Linked DNA regions of Mus musculus. The protein of the gene in region 1 purifies or fractionates together with the protein of each later gene. This does not show direct contact. Links are inferred from orthologs where the notes say so. Each region holds a gene or a part of one and is shown on either strand. Other genes may lie near its edges.

What was found.
Region 2: the proteins of Arhgdia (region 1) and Ezr purify together in Homo sapiens (co-purification; 3 studies listed by BioGRID and IntAct, with this or other methods). This does not show direct contact. The link is inferred for Mus musculus from reciprocal best matches to the Homo sapiens genes ARHGDIA and EZR.
Region 3: the proteins of Arhgdia (region 1) and Rhoc purify together in Homo sapiens (affinity purification with mass spectrometry; 4 studies listed by BioGRID and IntAct, with this or other methods). This does not show direct contact. The link is inferred for Mus musculus from reciprocal best matches to the Homo sapiens genes ARHGDIA and RHOC.

What each region holds. Positions count from the first base shown.
Region 1 is NC_000077.6:120,576,123-120,584,725, forward strand, and holds Arhgdia (rho GDP-dissociation inhibitor 1), read right to left. Parts: upstream 5,503-8,603; 5' UTR 5,400-5,502; intron 5,126-5,399; exon of another isoform or gene 4,868-5,125; intron 4,272-4,867; 5' UTR 4,250-4,271; coding exon 4,060-4,249; intron 3,929-4,059; coding exon 3,845-3,928; intron 3,623-3,844; coding exon 3,546-3,622; intron 3,458-3,545; coding exon 3,394-3,457; intron 3,309-3,393; coding exon 3,109-3,308; 3' UTR 1,977-3,108; downstream 1-1,976. UniProt on the Homo sapiens protein: Controls Rho proteins homeostasis. Regulates the GDP/GTP exchange reaction of the Rho proteins by inhibiting the dissociation of GDP from them, and the subsequent binding of GTP to them.
Region 2 is NC_000083.6:6,751,781-6,755,280, reverse strand, and holds part of Ezr (ezrin), read left to right. Parts: intron 1-395; coding exon 396-670; intron 671-1,211; coding exon 1,212-1,295; intron 1,296-2,151; coding exon 2,152-2,298; intron 2,299-3,500. UniProt on the Homo sapiens protein: Probably involved in connections of major cytoskeletal structures to the plasma membrane. In epithelial cells, required for the formation of microvilli and membrane ruffles on the apical pole. Along with PLEKHG6, required for normal macropinocytosis.
Region 3 is NC_000069.6:104,789,296-104,797,224, reverse strand, and holds the end of Rhoc (rho-related GTP-binding protein RhoC), read right to left. Parts: intron 5,337-7,929; 5' UTR 5,329-5,336; coding exon 5,173-5,328; intron 4,661-5,172; coding exon 4,540-4,660; intron 4,326-4,539; coding exon 4,195-4,325; intron 3,356-4,194; coding exon 3,182-3,355; 3' UTR 2,766-3,181; downstream 1-2,765. Other genes in the region: Mov10 (putative helicase MOV-10), read left to right, coding at 64-255, 384-458, 1,240-1,365, 1,443-1,531, 1,779-1,900, 1,985-2,076. UniProt on the Homo sapiens protein: Regulates a signal transduction pathway linking plasma membrane receptors to the assembly of focal adhesions and actin stress fibers.

The DNA.
Region 1 (8,603 bases):
CTAAGAGCAGCTGCCATTGCTGAAAAGAGGTGTTAGTTTGGACAACCTAGTATCAAGGTCCTGTAAGACCCACACTGAGTATTACACATTTTCTGGGCCATTGGAAATGCATTGAAATATCCTTCAGGCAGGAGTCTTACTCAGAGAAGATGCTCATCAACTATAGGTTGAGTTATTGGAGGTTTTGACTATTCCTAAGAGTTCTCAGAACCAAGCAACTCCCTTTTGGAGGGACACACCTGGCAGGGTGTCCAGTAGGGTGGACAGCAGATTGACTCCAAGACTGATTGACCTGGAGGGTGAACTGAAAGAGCTGATGACAGCCAAGCGGGAAGCAGAATGGTGTCCACGGCTATGGGGATGGTAGCTTTGGTTGGTACAGGATTGTGCTGGGCAGAGAAGGGTCTTGTAAATCACAATAGCAGATGTTTACACAGCATGGAAGCTGACTGCTCATCAACTGGTACTACCTACAGCCCATCACTTTCCTCAGGAGAGGAGGCCTGTCTATAGGTGTCTGAAGAGCCAAGAAGCTAGGCAATTCCTGGGAGTCCTAGTCAGAGAGGAGCTGCTGTGGAGAATGCCTGGCTCCTGAGGGCCTTGCAACAGCTCTCCACAGAGGCAGGTTAGGGGGCGTGAGATTGGGAGGATCTGGTTAGACTTGGGACCTAGGAAACACATCATGCACTTTGAGGCCACTCTGAGTTAACCTGCACTGGGAGGAGCCAGAGCAAAGTCCTAGCTGTTGGCAGTAGGCTTGTACACTTGGAACTTAGGGTCTGAGTTCACACACTTAGCTGCCTAGGACAAACTCAGAGCTGTAAGATTAAGTATCTTGGTCCAAAGAGAGCTTCAGAAGCCCTTATTTGATAAACAGCATCGCTGAGAGCATCTAATAAACACTTTAAGGATGAGCTAGGAGACTGGTTGGCTCTGCAGTTTGGAGAAAAGGCTTCACCCTGCTCAGGCCCCGACTGCTGGGGCCAGGAAGAGTTCTGGGTAAGGATTGGATCAACAATTTGGCTGCCTAGTACAAGGAGCTGCTATTATCAGGTTAGTGTCCCACAGAAGGTTGGTTCTGGGGTCCGCCAGTCTTTGGCTCCGATGGATCTAGTAAAAATGGCGGACATGGCCCAATTTATGGTCAGCTGTCAGCAACAAGACAAAAAGGTATCTTTTGGCCCCCTGCAATAAAGGTTCATCACACTATTCACCACTGGTGGACCCCAAGGCAAGATTGGCAGGGCTCCAGCAAAGTAGCCGATTACTACTCGCTACACAACTGGTACACCCACTTTCCTGAACAGCTTCATCAGAGGGTGGTTTTCCAAAGCTAGCATAAGGCTGAAAAGGGAAGTTTTTAGACTGACTCCTGTAAAGGCAGGATGGGGTTTTGAGGTTACTAGGTACCTTTGGTTGTGCTGAAGACAGACAAGTAATCCTGCCTCCCTGTGGTCACTACAGAGAGCTACACAAGAGCCCTGTTAAGGCTTAGTGGCTTTTCAGGGTTCTGCTACAAGCTTCATGGTTCAGTGGTCCTGCCCTTTCTCCCTAGGTTCGTGGGTGCTCTAGAGAGCACAGTACTGGAGATGTGCAGAGGCTCGGTTTCCTGTTCCAACTAGCCTCACTAACAGGCATAGGGAACTCTCTCACCAGGTCGACCTACACATGCAAGTTGTTCAGAGCCAGATCAGTTTGATCTTCCAGCAGGGCTCCATACTGAGGGCAAGTCCCAGCCAGGGGAAATTTAGATATGCTGACTCAGGCAATCCCTCTATGCCCAGGGCCAGCACTGTGACCCATGGGCCTGGGGTTTGTTCTATATTCACATCTCCACAGGAAGCCAGGAGCAAAGACAAAACAGGGCTGTTAGCAGCAGACAACCTTGTAGCCAGGACATCTGATCTGAGGGACATCCACCCTCCACTGGATTCTTACCATTCCCTACAAAACCCCAACACAAGCTGCACAGACCACACAATCCCAGACTCCTTCAGGGGTGTTTATTTCCCAGTCAGAAGAGAAGCAGGGACAGGCTCCTCTGCCTGTTGAGGCTGGGCCTGGCAGACACCACACAGGGACTGGGGATAGGGAGGGGAGGCACAGGAGACAGCTCCCAACTGTGTGAACTTGGTCCCACATTTGTCCTGGCTGGGTCCAGGGAGGGTCGGCCCAGGGATGGTGGCACCAAGAACCAGGGCAGAGGCATCAGGCCAGCTGGCCCAAATGGAGGCAATAAATACTGACAGGCCAGGCACGAGGTTCAGGCCACGTGGCCCAGGTGAGACAAGTAAGGCTCGGCTGGCTTTGTCCCTCAGGGGCTCTCTGTGGGGACAGGGGCTCCGAGTACTGCCTACAAGGGACAGAGAAGGCAGAGGAATGAGGCACCCTACCCTGCCTCCTAGATGGGGCTGGAGGCATCGAGTTTTGGCAATTGACCCTCCCCTAGCTACTGGAGCCACCCCCAACCCTGGCCACGGGGAGGGGAAGAGCTGGCCAGGCTCGCAGGAAGCAACAGCAGCGCACCCCAGGCCTCCCTTGGGTGGGTCACTGGGATGGGGATGGCAGACGAGGCGAGGACAGGGAGAGCACATGCTCATGCAGACAGGGAGTTAAGAGTTAGCGACGGCCCCCAGCACACGTTCCACATGTTAAGGCATCATGGTTAGACAGTGACTGACAGTGATGGATGACCTGGCCAGGGAGTGGTGGGACTAGAGGACAGATAGCCCAGCCCTTCCCCATGCTGCGACAGAGACAAGGTGGGCTGGACAACCCTGACAGTGTTCTGTTCCATTCTAGAAGCCAGGGCCTGAGGAAGGGAAGACAGAGGGAACCTGGAGGGACACAGCAGATTGGAGGCCTGGGCTGGAACCCCTCCCCCACTGCACAGGCAGAAGCAGCAATGTGACACTGGAGACCACAGGGGCCTGCGGGCAGGAGGTGGAGGAGGGGCAGACAGGAGAGCTGACTGCCTGAGTGGACTAGGGAGGAATGACGGGTGAGGGAGGTCCTGTCAGCACTTTGGTTTGGGGTAGGTAGGGGGTTAGGGTGGGGCATGTCGGTCCTTCTGTCTGTCCGTCGCCCTGCCCGTCTCCCAGCTGGAGCTCAGTCCTTCCACTCCTTTTTGATGGTGAGATTCCACTCCCAGGACAGGTGGTCAGTCTTGTCGTCATCTGTGAAGCGCGACTTGATGTTGTAACTGCCCCGAGCAAGCATGCCTTTGGGAGCCTCCTCCATGGGTGTCAGGAACTCATACTCCTCGGCCCTCGGCCCATAGCTCCCGACCATGTAGTCAGTCTTGTCAACTGAGGGACAGGAGAGGCAGGATTACTGGTGCTGCACGCCCCTCCCAGGCCCAATGGCTCCCCACTCTATGGCCCGCCCACTCACTTTTGACCCCTTTCCTGTATGTGTGTTGGATGTACTTCATGCCGGACACGATCTCTCTGTTCACCTGTGGGGACACAGAGCCAGGGTCAGCTGCCTTCCCAGGCTTGCCCCTCTGCCCCTTGTTTCCAGGCCTCTCAAAGCCCCCACCTTACCCGGAAAGAGATTTTTATCCGGTACTCCACACCTTCCTTCAAGACAAACGACTGTTTCTTGAAGCTCTCCAGATCACCTGTATTGAGGAGGAGTCTCCGCTGACTGCTTGCTTGAAGGGCTCTCCACCCTGCTACATTCACTCTCCCCAGCCCCTTCCCTGACACAAAGCAGAGCTTCGGCAAGCCCCTAGCTGCACTTCCCCTCTTCTCCACCAGAGGGCATCAGTGCAGAAAATTATTTTTAGGGGTAGAGGCAAGATGCCAGCTGGCCCCACCCAGGGATTCTAATACCCACTCACCTGTCAGGTCCAGTTCCAGAGGGCCTGGGGCAGTGCTGCATACCAAGGTCAGTCGAGTCACAATGACATTGGGGACGTTGGGGTCTGCAGAGTGAGAGTTAAGAGTCAGAGTCCCATCCCTTAAGATTTTTCTTTTTAAACTCACTCCTTGGAAGAGTGGTCTGGAAAGAGACTGGGCACAGGTTTAGATGACATCCTTCCTCCAAGCCACCTACCTGCAGAGACAGCTACTCGGCCCAGCAGGGCCTCCTTGTACTTTCGGAGGCTTTCATCGTCCTTGTCCAGTTCCTGGATCTCCTGGATGCTCTTCTGGGCTGGAGGCTTGTAGTTCACAGAGTGCTCATCTTCCTCATTCTCTGCAGCTATCTGCGCAAGCTGCTCAGCAGTGGGTTCCTGTTCTGCCATGCTTACCTCTAGCTTGGGACACCTGTGGGCGGGGCATGAGCAGGACTGTGACAGCCTGGAGGCATTCCACCCTAGGCAGACCCTGACACCTGCAGGACACCTGACTGGAACTTTGAGAGGATGCTGCCACTGCCCTACGCAGAGGCCCATTTGAGAGGACTAGAACCCCAAGCAACGAAATGGGACCACAGCCTGTTCCTCAGAGAAGCAAAACACCTTTCCTCCCCACTAAGAATAAGCCTCCAGACCGAACTGAACTGGCAGACGCAACACTAAATCCCTGGGGTCCTGTTGCTGTCCCTAGCTGCCCAGGCTCTCATCTTACTGGGTTGGGTCATGGAGGTAAGTTCTCCGACAGGGAGATGCTCTGTATGTTAGCCACGTGCAGGACAAGGGTCTGTTTGTTCGTCCCTTCCAATGGAATACTGTCCTAAGCTCAACTATGTGATGACCGCTTAAATCCCAAGAGCCCAAAGGGGATCCTAAATACGCAGGTCTGTCCTCTCTAGTGAGGGTCTGCGTATGCAACTTGGGAGCTAGTGCACCGCTTGCAAATAAATCTCAGGAGCCTGTTTCTGGGCCCTGACCCTAAACCTTTAGTGGCGGTGAGGAACCAACCAGGACGGAAGCGCCTAGATGCCTTTCAGTTCCGCAGATTCCCAAACGTCTCTCGGAAACCCACTGTGATGCCTACAGGCAATGCGCAGCGGTCCCGGGAAGAGCCCGGCCGTTGTCCCTCTGAGAGGTGTCCGCCAAGGAAACACATAAAGCGGCGGTCCGAAACCCGGAGGCTACAGACAACCCCACCCGACGCCAAGCGTGGCCGCCGGCGACAGCATCAGGGCGCGGCCCGCACTTCCGTAGAGCCCGCAATCCGAGCGGGGCGGGGCCGCGCGGCGGGAGCCCCGGGCCAGGCCCCGCGCCGGACCCCGCCCGCGAGGCCGAGGAAGGGGGTCCCCTGGTAGCAGGCGCGCAGGCCCGGGGGGCCGCGGCCCCTCCGGCAGGACCTGCGCTGCCGCCCTGGCCCGCCCCGCCCGCCCGCCCGGGTGACCGCGCCCCGCCCGCGAGCGCCGCAGTCGCCCGCGACGCCGCACAAAGCCAACCCACTCCCCTCCCGCACTGCACCGCGCTGCGCCACGCGCCCACTCACCGGAGGCTCGACCGCCGCTCTCGCGCTCCCTCCCGCACCAAATGACGAACGTCGTCCGCCGCCCGCCGCTCGGACGGTCACTTCCGGGGTCACAAGACTTCCGCTCTCGCGGGCGGGGTCGCCTTGCGCATGCGCCGCCAGGGGGCGCGGGTCGGCGCCGTCGCCATTTTGCTGCGGGCCTCGTGGGCGCGTCCCGCGTGGGCCGGCGCCCTCGCGCCTTCTGCCGAATGCCGGGTGCGAGGGTTTGTGGGACACGAGAGCCGGCTCTTCCAGAGCAGCGTCGCGCGGCCATTCTGTGGCTCCCAGGGTTCCCTGATTGCCGTGCCTGGCCCTTGTCCCATTGTCCTCAGAGTCAACAGAACCACAGTCCTCACCGACCGCAGTGCCCTGTAGCTGTGCTGCCTGGCGCATTGCTCTGGGGACTGCGTGCCCCCCGAGCCCCCGTATGTTAGAAGTTGTATGGTTTTGCTGTGAGGAGCGGTTTTCCTTGGAACGGGCTGCCTGCCTATCTTGAACCTCATCCCTGAGACGCGCCCGCCTCTGCCTCCAGGATGCTGAGATTGAAGGCGTGCACCATCACCGCCAGGCGTGTTTCACGACGCTGAGGATGGAGCCTCCTTAGTGGAGGGCCTGGCTGGGGGGGTTCCCGGTCGTGTGCTTGTGCCAGCCACTCCAGTTCCTCCTGAGGAGTCTCAGTTCCTGCTACTCCGTGAGGGCACTCCATGTTGGCTTCTTCTGAGTGTAGCCTCAGACTGAGGGGAGGCAGGAATTTAAGGGGCACTACGGGGACTTCTATAGCTTAATCCCACAAAAGCCATCGCTTCTGGCCTGCTCTGTTGGCCACACCTGCCCCTGTGGTATCCAGGAAACAGCTGTTGGCTCCGGAGAGTCATCAAACTTAAAAGATGAGGAATCCAATGGCCTCCACTCTCCATCTTCAGTTGTGGCCCAGTTATTTTACACAAGCACGCATACCCTCTGGCTATACATCAATCTGAAGCAAACCAAGTGTTCTTTCAAGCTCATTTATTTTTATCTCTAAGGAAGATGGATTTGCAATATCATTACCCTACATCCAGGTAGCTGCTCTTCTATGCAGAACTATTCTAAAACAAAAAGCCACGTGACTATCCCCACTCTTACTGTATGATGAATTTGGCTGGCCTTCCACCTACACACAGGTGTGCCCAACGAAGTGTGTCAAGCTGGCTTTTCAGGAGGCTCATGGTCCTCCAACTGGATGAGCCTGGTTTATTGAGCTCTGTGCCACCCACAATTCCCTGGTTTGACGCTCAAAGTACAAATCTTCCAAAGCTGCGTTTTTATGTTTATGCATATCAATATTTTGAAGTAGTCTCTGAACCACTTGTGTGCAGTACCCATAAAGGTCAGAAGAGGGCATTGCATCCTCTGGAACTGGAGTTAGAACAGTAGTGGGTTCTGTACTGTACTGGGAATCAAACCCAAGATCTCTCTCAAAGAGGAGCCAGTGCTCTATGAACTGCTGAGCCATCTTTTTAGCCTGCCCATGCCCAAAGATTTTTTATACGGTCTAGCTACATACATACAGTGATTCACATTTGAAAAAAATCACAAAGATCATTAAAAGTCCAGTCAGCATTTCCCTGATTTATTTTATATATATATATATATTTTTGTTTTTGAGACAGGGTTTCTCTGTGTAGCCCTGGCTGTCCTGGAACTCACTCTGTAGACCAGGCTGGTCTTGAACTCAGAAATCCGCCTGCCTCTGCCTCTCAAGTGCTGGGATTAAAGGCTTGTGCCACCACTGACTGGCCCTGATTATATTTTATGAATTCTTTAAGTTTGCATAAAATTTTGTAAAATTTGAGTGCTTAAAAAACATTGAGAGGCTGGCGAGATGGCTCAGTGGTTAAGAGCACCGACTGCTCTTCCAAAGGTCCTGAGTTCAAATCCCAGCAACCACATGGTGGCTCATAACCATCCTTAACGAAATCTGATGCCCTCTTCTGGAGTATCTGAGGAAAGCTACAGTGTACTTACATAATCTTTAAAAACAAAAACAAAAACATTGAGCCAGGGGCTGGCAAGATGGCTTAGAAGTTAAGAACACTGACTACTGCTCTTCTAGAGGATGCAGATTCGATTCTCAGCACCCACATGGCGACTCAAACCTGTCTGTGACTCTGGTTCCAGAGCGTCTGACACCTTTACATAGACACATGCAGGCAAAATAACAATGAACATTAAATAAAAATAAATACAATTTACATATGATATATCATAATTGTATAATTAAAACATATTAATATAATAAATAATAAATAAAATTAAAATATATTGAAGCAGGTTGTGGTGGCAGCACACAACTGCTCCCAACACTTGGGAAGCAGACACAGGCAGATCTCTAGGAGCTCTCTAGCTCTATAAGTTTGAAGCCAGCCTGGTCCACTGGCTTACAGAGACAACAAAGGATGCACACAAAAAAAACTTGTCCCTAAAAACAAAGATAGATAGGTAGGTATGTAGGTAGGTACAGGCAGACAGCTGATAGATAGCTGCTCTTGCATAGAACCTGGGTTCAGTTCCCAGCACCCACATGGCTGCTCACAACCATCTGTAACTCCTTTTCAAGCCAAATGCCCTCTTCTGGCCCTGGAGGGCACAGCATTTACACTGTACACTTACATACACACGGAACACACAGAAAAATAAAATCTTTAGCTGGGCAGTAGTGGCACACTCCAGAGGCAGAGGCAGATTTCTGAGTTCAAGACCAGCCTGGTCTCTATAGTTTCTCCAGGACACAGAGAAACCCTATATAGAAAAGCCAAAAATAAAATCCAAAATAAAATCTTTGAAAAACAAAACCAAGGGCTGGAGAGATGACTCAGTGGTAAAGAGCACTGATTGTTCTTCCAGAGGTCCTGAGTTCAATTCCCAGCAATCACATGGTGGCTCACAGCCATCTGTAATGGGATCTGATGCCCTCTTCTGGTGTATTTGAAGAGTGAGAGTATATTCACATGCATTACATAAGTAAATCTTTAAAAAAAAAAGAAAAGAAAAAGAAAAAAGAAAAACAAAACCAAAATAGTGGCTTGCAGGTGTCACACTTTCATACAGCACTTGCAGCCCAGATTTTCAAAACCAAACCAAGCCAAGCTAAACTGTAGACATTGTAATTGGTCTGGGGTTTGCCCTTGTTAGTCCTATAGGATG
Region 2 (3,500 bases), on another chromosome or scaffold:
GATAGCGTGGTCACAAGAAATGAGGGTGAAGCCAGCCGGTTTCCAGCAGAGTGTGAGTGCGTCGGACTGACTGACCACCTCACACCCTACAGCGATGAGTTTCAGGGCTAGGGAATGTGGCTGAGTTAGAAGGATGCTTACCTAGCACGCACAGGGCCCCGTATAAACCAGGCATGGTGGGTCATGCCCATAATCCCGGGACTCAGGAGGTGGAGGAGGGAGTGCCAGAAGTTCACGGCCATCCTCCATAATGCAGCAGTTTGAAGCAAGCCTGGGATTCTCACATGATAACATGTGTCTCACATGATAGCAGTGATAATGGGATGACAACTCTGAGTCACTGGTGCTCAGGAATGGCCTGAAGTTGGCACTGAGAACCGTCCCCCGTCTGGCAGGTCTCCGCACAGGAGGTCCGAAAGGAGAACCCTGTCCAGTTTAAATTCCGGGCCAAGTTCTACCCCGAAGACGTGGCCGAGGAACTCATCCAGGACATCACACAGAAGCTCTTCTTCCTGCAAGTCAAGGACGGGATCCTCAGCGACGAGATCTACTGCCCCCCAGAGACAGCCGTGCTCCTGGGCTCCTATGCCGTTCAGGCCAAGTTCGGAGATTATAACAAGGAAATGCACAAGTCTGGGTACCTCAGCTCGGAGCGGCTGATCCCCCAGAGGTGAGCCGAGGCTGGCCTGGGTGAGCACAAGCCCCTGTCTCAGGAGGAGGGAGCGAGCAGGAGATGTGAGAGGGAGCAGGTGATTCTGTCAAGGTGAAGTGCTCCCTTAGGCTGGGACGCTGGGACTTTCCAAAGTGCTCACTTTGGAATGTTCTCAGCCAGCAGGCTCCCCTGATGATGAATTGTGACCCAGCCAGGGTACCGTGTCCCTTTCTGACTTGCCTGCTTAGCTCTGCCTGGTACACAGTAACCTGACCTCTGGAAAATCTGTCCTTACTAAAGGTGGCAAAAAGAGACCCCCTTTGGAAGAAAAGGTTATTTAAAATAATTTTTCACAACTTCCAGCGGGAATATGTTCTTTGAAAGGCTAAATCTTCAGGTTTATGCTCAAGAAAGAAAATTGGAAAGTAGAAACAAAAAGCCGTGATTGTTCTATTCAAAAGAACAGTGAGGGATTGAAGGGGTGGGAGGTGGCTTCGTGGCTCACATCTCAGCCCTTGAAGGTGACAACAGTCCTGCATCTCTCCTTCCCAATGTCCAGAGTCATGGACCAACACAAGCTCAGCAGGGACCAGTGGGAGGACCGGATCCAGGTGTGGCACGCGGAACACCGAGGGATGCTCAAGTGAGTGCCTGCCTTTTCAGTGTGCCTTCTCTGGGACTGCAGGTAGCTCTTCCAGTCAGGTCAGCCAGTGTTAGGTCTTCATGCTTGGTGAAGTCCAAGATGGATGACTGGGCTTGCCTTGGGGAGAGGGAGATTTCAGTTTTGTGTTTTAAACAAGGCCTGGTGTTCTTGCCCGGGGAAAGAAACAACTCAGTTGAAGCCTCAAATGCTAGCTAGCAGTAACCACCCTTCAGTGGAAGGTCCAGTGGCCAGCACTCATTTGGCCGAGGGTAGCACTGGTTGCCAGTGAATCCGGGTTTCTGTCTCTTGTGGAGGAGCTCTAACTAACTTGATTATTAAAGTCATTATCTTAGTGTAATATGCACTATATATAATGTAAGCACGGGCTGCAGTTGAGAAGAGCAGCAAAGCTTGAGGGAGAGGCATGGGGCTTTAGAATACTCAAATGGAGACCCCAGTCCCTGCCTCTGGCCTTGTACACAGCCCCCACTACTTCCTTGTAGTTAGGGACTCGGGGACTGTGTGCCACAGGGGCCAGGAGTCTTTGTGAGTTCTTTCTTGGGAACCCTGATTGTTCTGTGAATGCGGAAATCTGAGTTATCCCTAGCAAGAGAATAAAAAGAGGGGAAAAGCCTGTCTCCTTAGAAACCAGGGCAAATCAGTAGCTTCTTCCTGAACTCACGGGGCCGATGAATTTACAGGGCTCAGGACAACACAGGCCCTGCCTGCCCATCCCGTATGCCGTGCCTCCCGCTCTACTCTGCATGACTGGCCTCCATTTCAAGAATAAGCAGAGACTTGTGTGTTCAGGTGTGAATGCTGCTAACTATAACACCTGTGCTTTCTTTCCCATTAGGGACAGTGCTATGCTAGAATACCTGAAGATTGCCCAGGACCTGGAAATGTATGGGATCAACTATTTCGAGATCAAAAACAAGAAAGGAACAGACCTTTGGCTTGGAGTCGATGCCCTTGGACTTAACATTTATGAGAAAGATGACAAGTGAGTTGAAGTTGATCGCTGATTTTTTTTTTCCTTTCTTTTTTAAGCTGTGGAATAGCAGGCCTGGAAAACAGAGGAAGTGCCATGCCAGTCCTGTGTGTGTTAGACTGTGTGGTAGCATCATCTTAAGTGGTGACCTGGAAGTTAGCTACTTAGTTAGATGTACCTTGTACATCTGTTCTGTAGGACATGGGACCTGTGGCAAGGAAAGGCCCCGAGTGCAGGACTATAGGACCCTGACCCTGTGAAGCAGAGCTTGGTGGCTCCCAGAGGCCGTTCCCCCTCTATGGCTGTTCTAGGCTCTTGCCTAGCTAGGGTGGACTCCTGGCTCAAGGCTTGTGCTAATCCAATCAGGAACGTTGATAATGCCACCAGACACTCCAGGATTCTGTAAGCAGCCGTCTGCATGTGTGAACAATTAGCTAAATCCCCTGAGACTGCAGAAGGTGTCCGATTGCTTCACAGCCATTACGTTGCCTGTCAAGCAAGGTCTGAGAACAGAGTCGAAAGAGCTGCCTGGCACTGGGAGCCTCTTGTCAGCTGATGATGTTTGTCCCTGAGATGCCTTCTTCCCACCAAGGGAAATCATCCCACTTCAGCAAAGGGGAGGTGGTCCTGAGCACAGCATAGAAGAAGGGCTCTGGCTGAGGAGCCGTGAGACAAGAATGTCCCAGGGTCTCGATGTCCCCGTTAGTAGGTCTTATCTGGGAAACCTAGAGGGAGGCCTAGAGCCCAGGAATGCAGCTGAGTCCCGTGAAGTGTGTCAGGATGTGCAGCTCTGCTTCATGTCCTGTCAGCTCCCCAGATCTCACCCTGTCCCCATGGTCTCTCTGGAGCCATCTAGGAGAGTGGCCCTGTTCCTAGTAAAGGACATATACATAAAGACTCCAGTTAGTGAGGCCAGGCATGGTGGTGCACACCTTTAATCCCGCACTCGGGAAGCCGAGGCAGATAGAGCTCTGTGAGTTCAAGTCTAGCTAGGGCTGCAAGGTGAGATCCTGTCTAAAATACAAACAACCCATACAGAACATCCCAGGAGCCCTTAACCCTTGGGGAACCAGAGGCAAACTGTGGGGAACTTGGCTGCTTGCTTGTGTGATGCGGTGTTGATAGAGAGTCTGAGGGAACTCTCAGAGCCAGGCCGCAGGCCTTCCTCCACGCCTGGAGTGGAGCCTGGAGCCTGTGAGCCATCACCATGCGGA
Region 3 (7,929 bases), on another chromosome or scaffold:
GGTTGGAGGATTGGGAGGCAGGGAGATGAGCCTGAAGGTTTCCTCTTATTTCATGGCGTCCAGGGCTTCCCCATCATTTTCCATGGTGTAATGGGCAAAGATGAGAGAGAAGGCAATAGCCCATCCTTCTTCAACCCTGAAGAGGCTGCTACAGTGACGTCATACCTGAAACAACTCCTGGCCCCTTCCTCCAAGAAGGGTAAAGCCCGCCTGAGCCCCCGAAATGTGGGCGTCATCTCCCCGTACCGGAAGCAGGTCAGGCCCTCAGTCCAAGCCTAGGACTTCCCTCTTTGCCCGCCAGCACCCTGGCCAGCAGCCTGCCTCTGCCTTCCTCTTGTGTGAGGGGGATGGCCTAAGAGAAGGGCACCTATTCCTCCCTCCAGGTAGAAAAAATCCGTTACTGCATCACAAAACTTGACCGAGAACTTCGCGGACTGGATGACATCAAAGATTTGAAGGTAACCTAACTCTCGATCATACTCCCCTTATCTAGGCCTGTGCTATGTCCTGTCCCACCCTGTTTACTCAAAGTGGAACTGGGGTTTCCCCCAGGTGGTTCTGAGGTGGAACCTGGCAGGCTGCCAGTTAACGCATACTGCCTTAATCAGGTGTGTGGCCTCTGCCTAAGGTTAAAGTCCAAACTCCCTTTACCAACCCCTCCTGTTACGTGATAACACCTGTCACATGATATTGCCCCAAGCCTCCTACGTAGTTTAACTGTTCTTGAGGGGTGGCTCAACACTGATTCAGATTAAAGTTTAATAATGCCACTTCTTGGATCCCACCCAGACAATTAACATAGCTGCCCGAGGCAGAGCCAGGGCTCTGGTAGAGTGTTTGTTCTTATTGTTATGGTTTTTAAAAAGATCCACAGGTGAGTGTGATATGTGGAGCCAGGGTTGAAAACCACTGAGTTAGGATTTACTGGCCTCTCCCTCAGAATTTCTGACCAAATTGGTGGCTGCCTCCAGGGATGAGAACTCCCACTCTGTTCCTTTGCAGCACAGTGCCGTTTGCTTTGAACAGTTTCCAGGCCCCCCACCCTATAACTGGCTCTGTCCCACAGACCTTCACAGCAGGCCTTCTGCCCTCTTCCGGGCTCTGCGATTCTCTTACTCATCTCCAAGTACCCAGTGTCTTGTCTGTACCTCCCTGGCAGCTTTGTCCCCTAGAGCAGGTCTGTCACCGTGGTTCCTCCTAGGCCTATCTGATCTTTAAAGCCCTGTGTCTGCACTCTAGGTGGGCTCTGTGGAAGAGTTCCAAGGCCAAGAACGCAGCGTCATCCTCATCTCCACCGTCCGAAGCAGCCAGAGCTTTGTACAGCTGGATCTAGACTTTAACCTCGGTTTCCTTAAGAACCCCAAGGTTGGTAGGCTTGTGGGTGGCGTGAGTCCTTCCATGGGGCCTGTCCCTTTGATGACATCACCGCTTCCTCCATCCAGAGGTTCAATGTTGCTGTGACCCGAGCCAAGGCTTTGCTCATCGTAGTGGGCAACCCCCTCCTCCTAGGCCACGACCCAGACTGGAAAACGTAAGTGTTCCCAGCCCCCATAGTTGCTCTTAGCCACCGTGAGCCCCAGCCTGGGGCAGGTTTGTCCTCGACAAGCACTGGCTTACTTCTCCCTTAGTCCTCAGAGCTGTTGGTGTTAACAATGCCCACCCTGTATTAATAAGTGAGGTGGAGCAACTCTGCCTCAGATGTGACAGTGCCGAGCAGAGGCCGCCAGACTCGGCTCCTTGGCAGTTCCCCATGCATGCCGATGTTCTGAACCCCACAGGTTCCTGGAGTTCTGTAAAGAAAACGGGGGATATACCGGGTGCCCCTTTCCTGCCAAACTGGACCTGCAGCAGGGACAGGACTTGCTCCAAGGTCTGAGCAAACTCAGCCCCTCTACCTCAGGTATGGATGGGCCCTGCTGGGCCAGGGAGGTGAAGTGTGGGAAGCCGGCAGGATAACCAAGGATGTCTCTTTTTTTTCTCCCAGGGCCCCGCCGTCACCAGAATCTCCCCCAGGAGCGGGAGGGTGAAGGGGGCCTGCCCTTACAAGTGGAGCCAGAGTGGAGAAATGAGCTCTGAGGCCACAGCCGCCCGCCTTCTCACACCAGCCAAGCCTTATTGCTGCCTATCCCTGACCCAGAACCCAGCTCTCCTGTCCCTGCAAGAGATGGGAAGGCCGGGAAGTTTACAGCCCAGACCATTCCGCCCCTTCCTCTGCTAGGGAAGACAACCCAAGCTGCTAAAACTCGGAGGAAGGGGGAGGAAGAAAGCTTTTTTTTTTTTTTAAACCCTCTCCTTTGCAGTGCTGGGGATCGAACCCAGAGCCTCAAATATGCTAGGCAAGCACTCTGCCCCTGAGCTGCTTTAAGAAAAACAAAATGCTGTTCTATGCAAAAGCCTCTTGCGTGTGTCTCATCAGCCTGGTCTTGCTTCCTGTGCCCCCAAGATGACCCTCCAGGAGGGTTTCTGCCTAGAGCCACGCCCCTTCATAGCTGCTTAGCGGGGAGGAAACCCGATGGACAGGGAACCAACCCACAGGCATCTATGTTTAGCCAATGGTCCAGACCACTCCCCTCACCCACCCAGGCAGTCTGCCAAACATGACCTCATCCTGTACTAGACTCCACCCTGTCCCCTGCTGCCTCCGCCCCCAGCCCTGCCTCAGCAGACAGGGGCCCAGCCTAGCCAGCAACTTGGAAATGAAGAGGAAAAGATGGGACTCCAGGCTCACAGCCAAGGTAGGCCAGTAAAGACAGGAAGCTGCCACACACGGTGCAACCTTTGACCTTTATTCATGTCCCCACCAAGTTAAGTCAAATAACAAGGCTACTACCCAAAGCAGAAACCCCAGTCCCTACCCTAGACTCCTCCTGTGAGCCAAAAATATATAAAGTGCTGGTGTGTAATATGGGGAAGGCCAGAGGGACTAAGAGCCCCACCCCCTGGACCACCGCTTCTGGAGGAGGAGCCCTGCTCAGGAAAGGCAGGGCACCAGCCCGGTTCCCAGAGGCAGGGAGGAAGGGCCTAGCAGCCCCCACTTGGGGCTGGGAAACTCATGCAGTCCTGGGCAGAAAGGAACCAAAAAAGAAACTGGCAGCATGGAGTCCTACAAGGATGGCGTGGGGGAGGGTAACTGTACCCCTGGGAAGGGAAGGGTGGGAGGGTTGAGGAAGCTTTGGGGAAGTCAGAGAATGGGACAGCCCCTCCGGCGCTTATTCTTCCGGACCTGTAGGCCCGCCCGAGTGGCCATCTCAAATACCTCCCGCACCCCTTCCTTAGTCTTGGCCGAGCACTCGAGGTAGCCAAAGGCACTGATCCTGTTTGCCATGTCCCGGCCTTCCTCAGATCGAACCGGCTCCTGATAAGACAAGATACAGGGTCAAAAGAAGGGGTAACTGAGCATCCTCCAGACTGGCCCTGCAGAATTCCTAGGTCCAGCTACCACGGCCAGTTTCCAGGCTGGGGACATAAGACCCAGGTTGCCATTGCAGAATTCTGTCTGATCCCTCCCCCGCCCAGCCTCACCCCTACGGCACCCATTCCCCCCCTGAACAAGTACCTACTGCCCAACTGACTTCATACTCCGTCTTCTCTAGTCTGGTGGCGCTCAGCCTTCTAGTGCTGCAACCCTCTAATACAGTTCCTCATGTTGTGGGGACACCCCCCCACTATAAAATTATTTTTGTTGCTACCTCATAACTGTAGTTTTGCTACTGTTATGAATCGTGATGTAAATACCTAATATGCAGGATATCTAACATGCAGCCCCAAAGGGGTCATGACCCACAGGCTGAGACTGTTCTCGTCTATACTACATAGCTACCAGAGTACTTTTACTAACAGAGACTGAACCCCCACCTAAAGCCTTAATTAGCCTCCCAAGATAGCCTACCTTCCCCTAAGTAAAACAGTCCACTGGCTAGAGTTATTTAGCAAGTCCTCGAGTACTCACCCCTCTGAGCCTTCTCCCAGCAGTGTATAATGCCCTCCCTCCCCAGGGAACTCTTAACACACAGCCCCCACACCCTCGGGCAAGTCGCTTCTCTGATACTTCAGTTACTTGGGGGCCCTTCTAGTTCTTCCCAGCATTCGGACAGGACAGCAGATGAACGTCACAGTCCCGCTACCACTGGCTATCAGCTGTTTGCATCTCGGCTGGGAAACTTGCCTCACCACCAGCAGCGCAGCCCCACCCACCTGTTTCATCTTGGCCAGCTCTCTCCTGGTATGCTCATCTTGCCTCAGGTCCTTTTTATTCCCCACTAGGATGATGGGCACGTTGGGACAAAAGTGCTTCACCTCTGGGGTCCACTTCTCAGGAATGTTTTCTGCAGAGATATCACCAAAACGTGGATGTACCCACTTCTACTTAGCAACAGAAGCCAGGTCTTCTATAGCAGCCCTGGAGTCTACTGAACAGGCAGTACCTTGCACAGCTCAAAGCCCTTTGCAGTGAACACTCCTCACCCCAAGGGCTACTGTCTCTATAGCAAAGGAGACTTGCAGGACCTACATGCTCCCAAGATTCTTCCAAAGCCTTACCCAAACTGTCAGGGCTGTCAATGGAGAAACACATGAGGATGACGTCAGTGTCCGGGTAGGAGAGAGGCCGCAGGCGATCGTAGTCTTCTTGCCCAGCTGTGTCCCACAGAGCCAGCTCCACCTGACACACAAGGCTATTGAGCAGTTGGCCTGAGGGCCCCAACCCTACCACCCTGAGGCCCTCTGAAATCACTCATCCTATAAGCTAGCTGAACAACATCTTAACTGCTCGCTATGTGCTGGGTTGTATTGATCAGTCACAAAACCAATGATCCACTTCTCTTAAGATCTAAGATGGGTTTGATCTTGGTGTAGTATGAGCTGCCACTGTCAGCAGCATTTAGTTCTTAGGACAACCCTTTGGGAGAAGTCTCACTCTCATTCACATTTTGCAGTAGGGAGAAGTTAAGCCCACAGGCAAAAGGGACTTGGCTCAGATTCCAGAGCCAGTATGTGGTCCAACCAGATAGTGCATCCAGGTTTTCTACAGTTCCAGTTTCACTTCCTAACTTCTGCTGGTTCCAGCAGGGAAATAAAGAAGGAGGTGGGTGGTAAGGAAGGACATCCATGGGCCCCGTGTGACTGGGGGAACAGGCTTCCCAGCCAGGAAAACAAGAAATACATGGCTTTCACCTGCTTGCCATCCACTTCGATGTCGGCTATATAGTTCTCAAAGACGGTAGGCACGTAGACCTCTGGAAACTGATCTTTGCTGAAGACAATGAGGAGGCAGGTCTTCCCACAGGCACCGTCACCCACAATCACCAGCTTCTTTCGGATCGCAGCCATGGCTGAAACTGGCAGGCAGGTGGCAGTGGGGATTTGAGGAGGGGAAAGCCAGTAAATTCAATAACACTTATCTAGCCACCCACCCCCTCAAGCCTGCCTAGAAACCACAGCATCCAGCAAAGGAAGAGAAGAGGGTTCGCCAAGGCCTGTTCTTGCCAAGAACCAATCCTGCAGGCAGAAGACCTTACAACTTCATCTCTCCAGCTGCCTGTTAGGTGGATGGTGGCCTTCCCATTTGAAAACAAAACAAAAAACTCTTTATTGGCCGAGGCACATACACATGTGGTGGTAAAAGACAAGTCAGTCTACCTTTGCATGGGGTCCTGGAATCAAACTCAGGTGACTATGCTTGCTTTGCAAGCACCACGCCCACTGAGCATCTCCCGGGTCCCTCTCGCTGACTCCGGGCCTTCCTGACATAAGCAGGAAACTGAGGCTCAGTGTGGTTTAGACAAAAGTACAGGGACAGCTCTCAAAACAGGACTTTGTGATGCAGTCTGTCTTGCCTACATGGCACTTCACAGGTGAGAGCAGAAGTGGGAGAAGCTAAGCCAGAGGCCAGTGGAAGCAGGCTGGCTTCCCTGACCCACCCCCTTCCCTTCCCCAAAGTCTCAAGTCACACAAAGAAGGCTCAGTCCTGGCAGCTCACGGTCAGGCAGCCTGTTCCGCTGCCTCCCCACCACCACCACCACCCATCCCCTTTTCTGGGCCTGGCAGCAACACTGGGTCACTCAGCCCCTGACAGGGGACAATGACCACACTGTGGGGAGCCACACATCTATCACAGCATTGCTGTGACGGAGCTAAACCCACTCGGGAATCACCTCCACCCACTCTCTGGAACAGCCCCTTCCTCCTTGTGACCAGCTGACCCTTAGGCCCAGCAGACACCTCCCTGTGACTCAAGATAAGGAAGGAGTCAGCTTCTCAGAGTTTATATGTGTCCTACACCCCAGCACACGTGAACGAGCAGTTCAGACCACAGGGAGCTGACCGGGTCAGTGAGGTCTCCAGACCTACACAGCCTGGCAAGGATCATGCCAGACAGAGTAGAGATGAAGCGAAGGCTGTGGGGGAGGGAACCAGAGCCTGGGCTGGGAGGAGCCTCCAAAGAAAGGACTAGTGAGGATCAGTCTAAGCTTTTGACCAGGCAGGGAGCAGTTAAGAAGGGCACAGTAACCTGAGCTCAGCCCCAAACTTGGCTTTGCCTTTCAGTCCCACATCCTGTCTGGCTCTGCTCAACTCTTAGCTCCCTACAAACCACCTCAAACCCTGGCCTGTGCCTGCCTTTTAGGAAGCAGAGTACTCCAGCCCCAGGCTGATTCTTTTCAGCATCAGGCGCCTGGGTGGTTCCTCCCTCCCCTACACCTACACACACACACACACACACACACACACACAAAACTGGGATGTGAGGAAAGAGGACATGAGTCACAGAGAATTTATAGGAGTTGCGTATGCACAGCCACACTTACCACCCCCCATCTCAAGGGGCTTTCCCTGGTACCCCCGAAAGACTGGGAAGAAGGCATTCGCTATGCTGCATATCTCCTTCAAAAATGAGGTCTGAGAGGTATATCCAGGTAACCCACAGGATTTCCTCCAACTTCCCCACCTACTCCCATTAATTCAACCAGTCTAGCTGTACACAGGCTGGCGGGGACAGCCCCAAGCCAGGGTGGGCAGTGTGGATGGAGCGTGATCCCTAGGACACTTAAACACTAGTCACATCCCCATGCGTGAGCCCCGGCTGTCCCACAGCAGCAAGGCGGCTGAGCATCTGATGGTGGGAGGCAGAGGCCGGAACTTCGTGGCTGTGTTAGAGCCTCCAGCTCCGAAGACTTTGCATCTAGGCTCTGCTTAGGCCAGAATAATTGGGGACTCAGGCCAAGCCGGGACATTAGGCCGAAGGCCAACATGGCATGGATGGCCTGGCTAACACTCCCTGTGAAAGGCGGCTCCAGCGGAACTGCCCCACTAACCCTAAGAGAGACAACGAAAACTTCACCCAGGGCCGGGAGAGGGGTCTGGAACTTCTGGGACCTTCCCTAGGACAAGCCACTAGCCTTCCTTATTCTCTTGATTTCCCAGGTGATCCAACAGGCCTTTGTACTCTGCTCCCCCCGAGATCTAGGCGAGGAATCACTCTTCGGGCAACACCTTTTCCTTAACTTTAAAGCCAGAAGTCAAGGAAGAGCTGGACTCCAGCTTTCAGCCCAATTCCCTAACACTCCCTAACTTCCCAAGAGGGTACGAGGAAGAGTTGGGGATTGGGGTGTTTTGTTCTTCCCCACCCCCCTTCACTCTCAGACACATATACACAACACAGGAGCGGGATCTTTCCTAGTCTTCTCAACCTCTCAGCTCAGATCAGCTCCAAAACCCGTCTAGGGCGGCGTCCAGACCCGCCAAGCAGTAGCAGCCTCCAGTGGTCACATCCCATCCCTATTCCCGCCATTCCCCATCCCAGGCCAGAACTCCCACCCCTAGCCAGCCTGAGGCCCTGTTTCTTACTCCCTGCCCGGAACTGGAGCGTCTGGGTTGAGTCGCTCACGGAGATCTAAGTGTGTCCCTGGCCCAGCTAGGGAGGTCCAGAAAGGA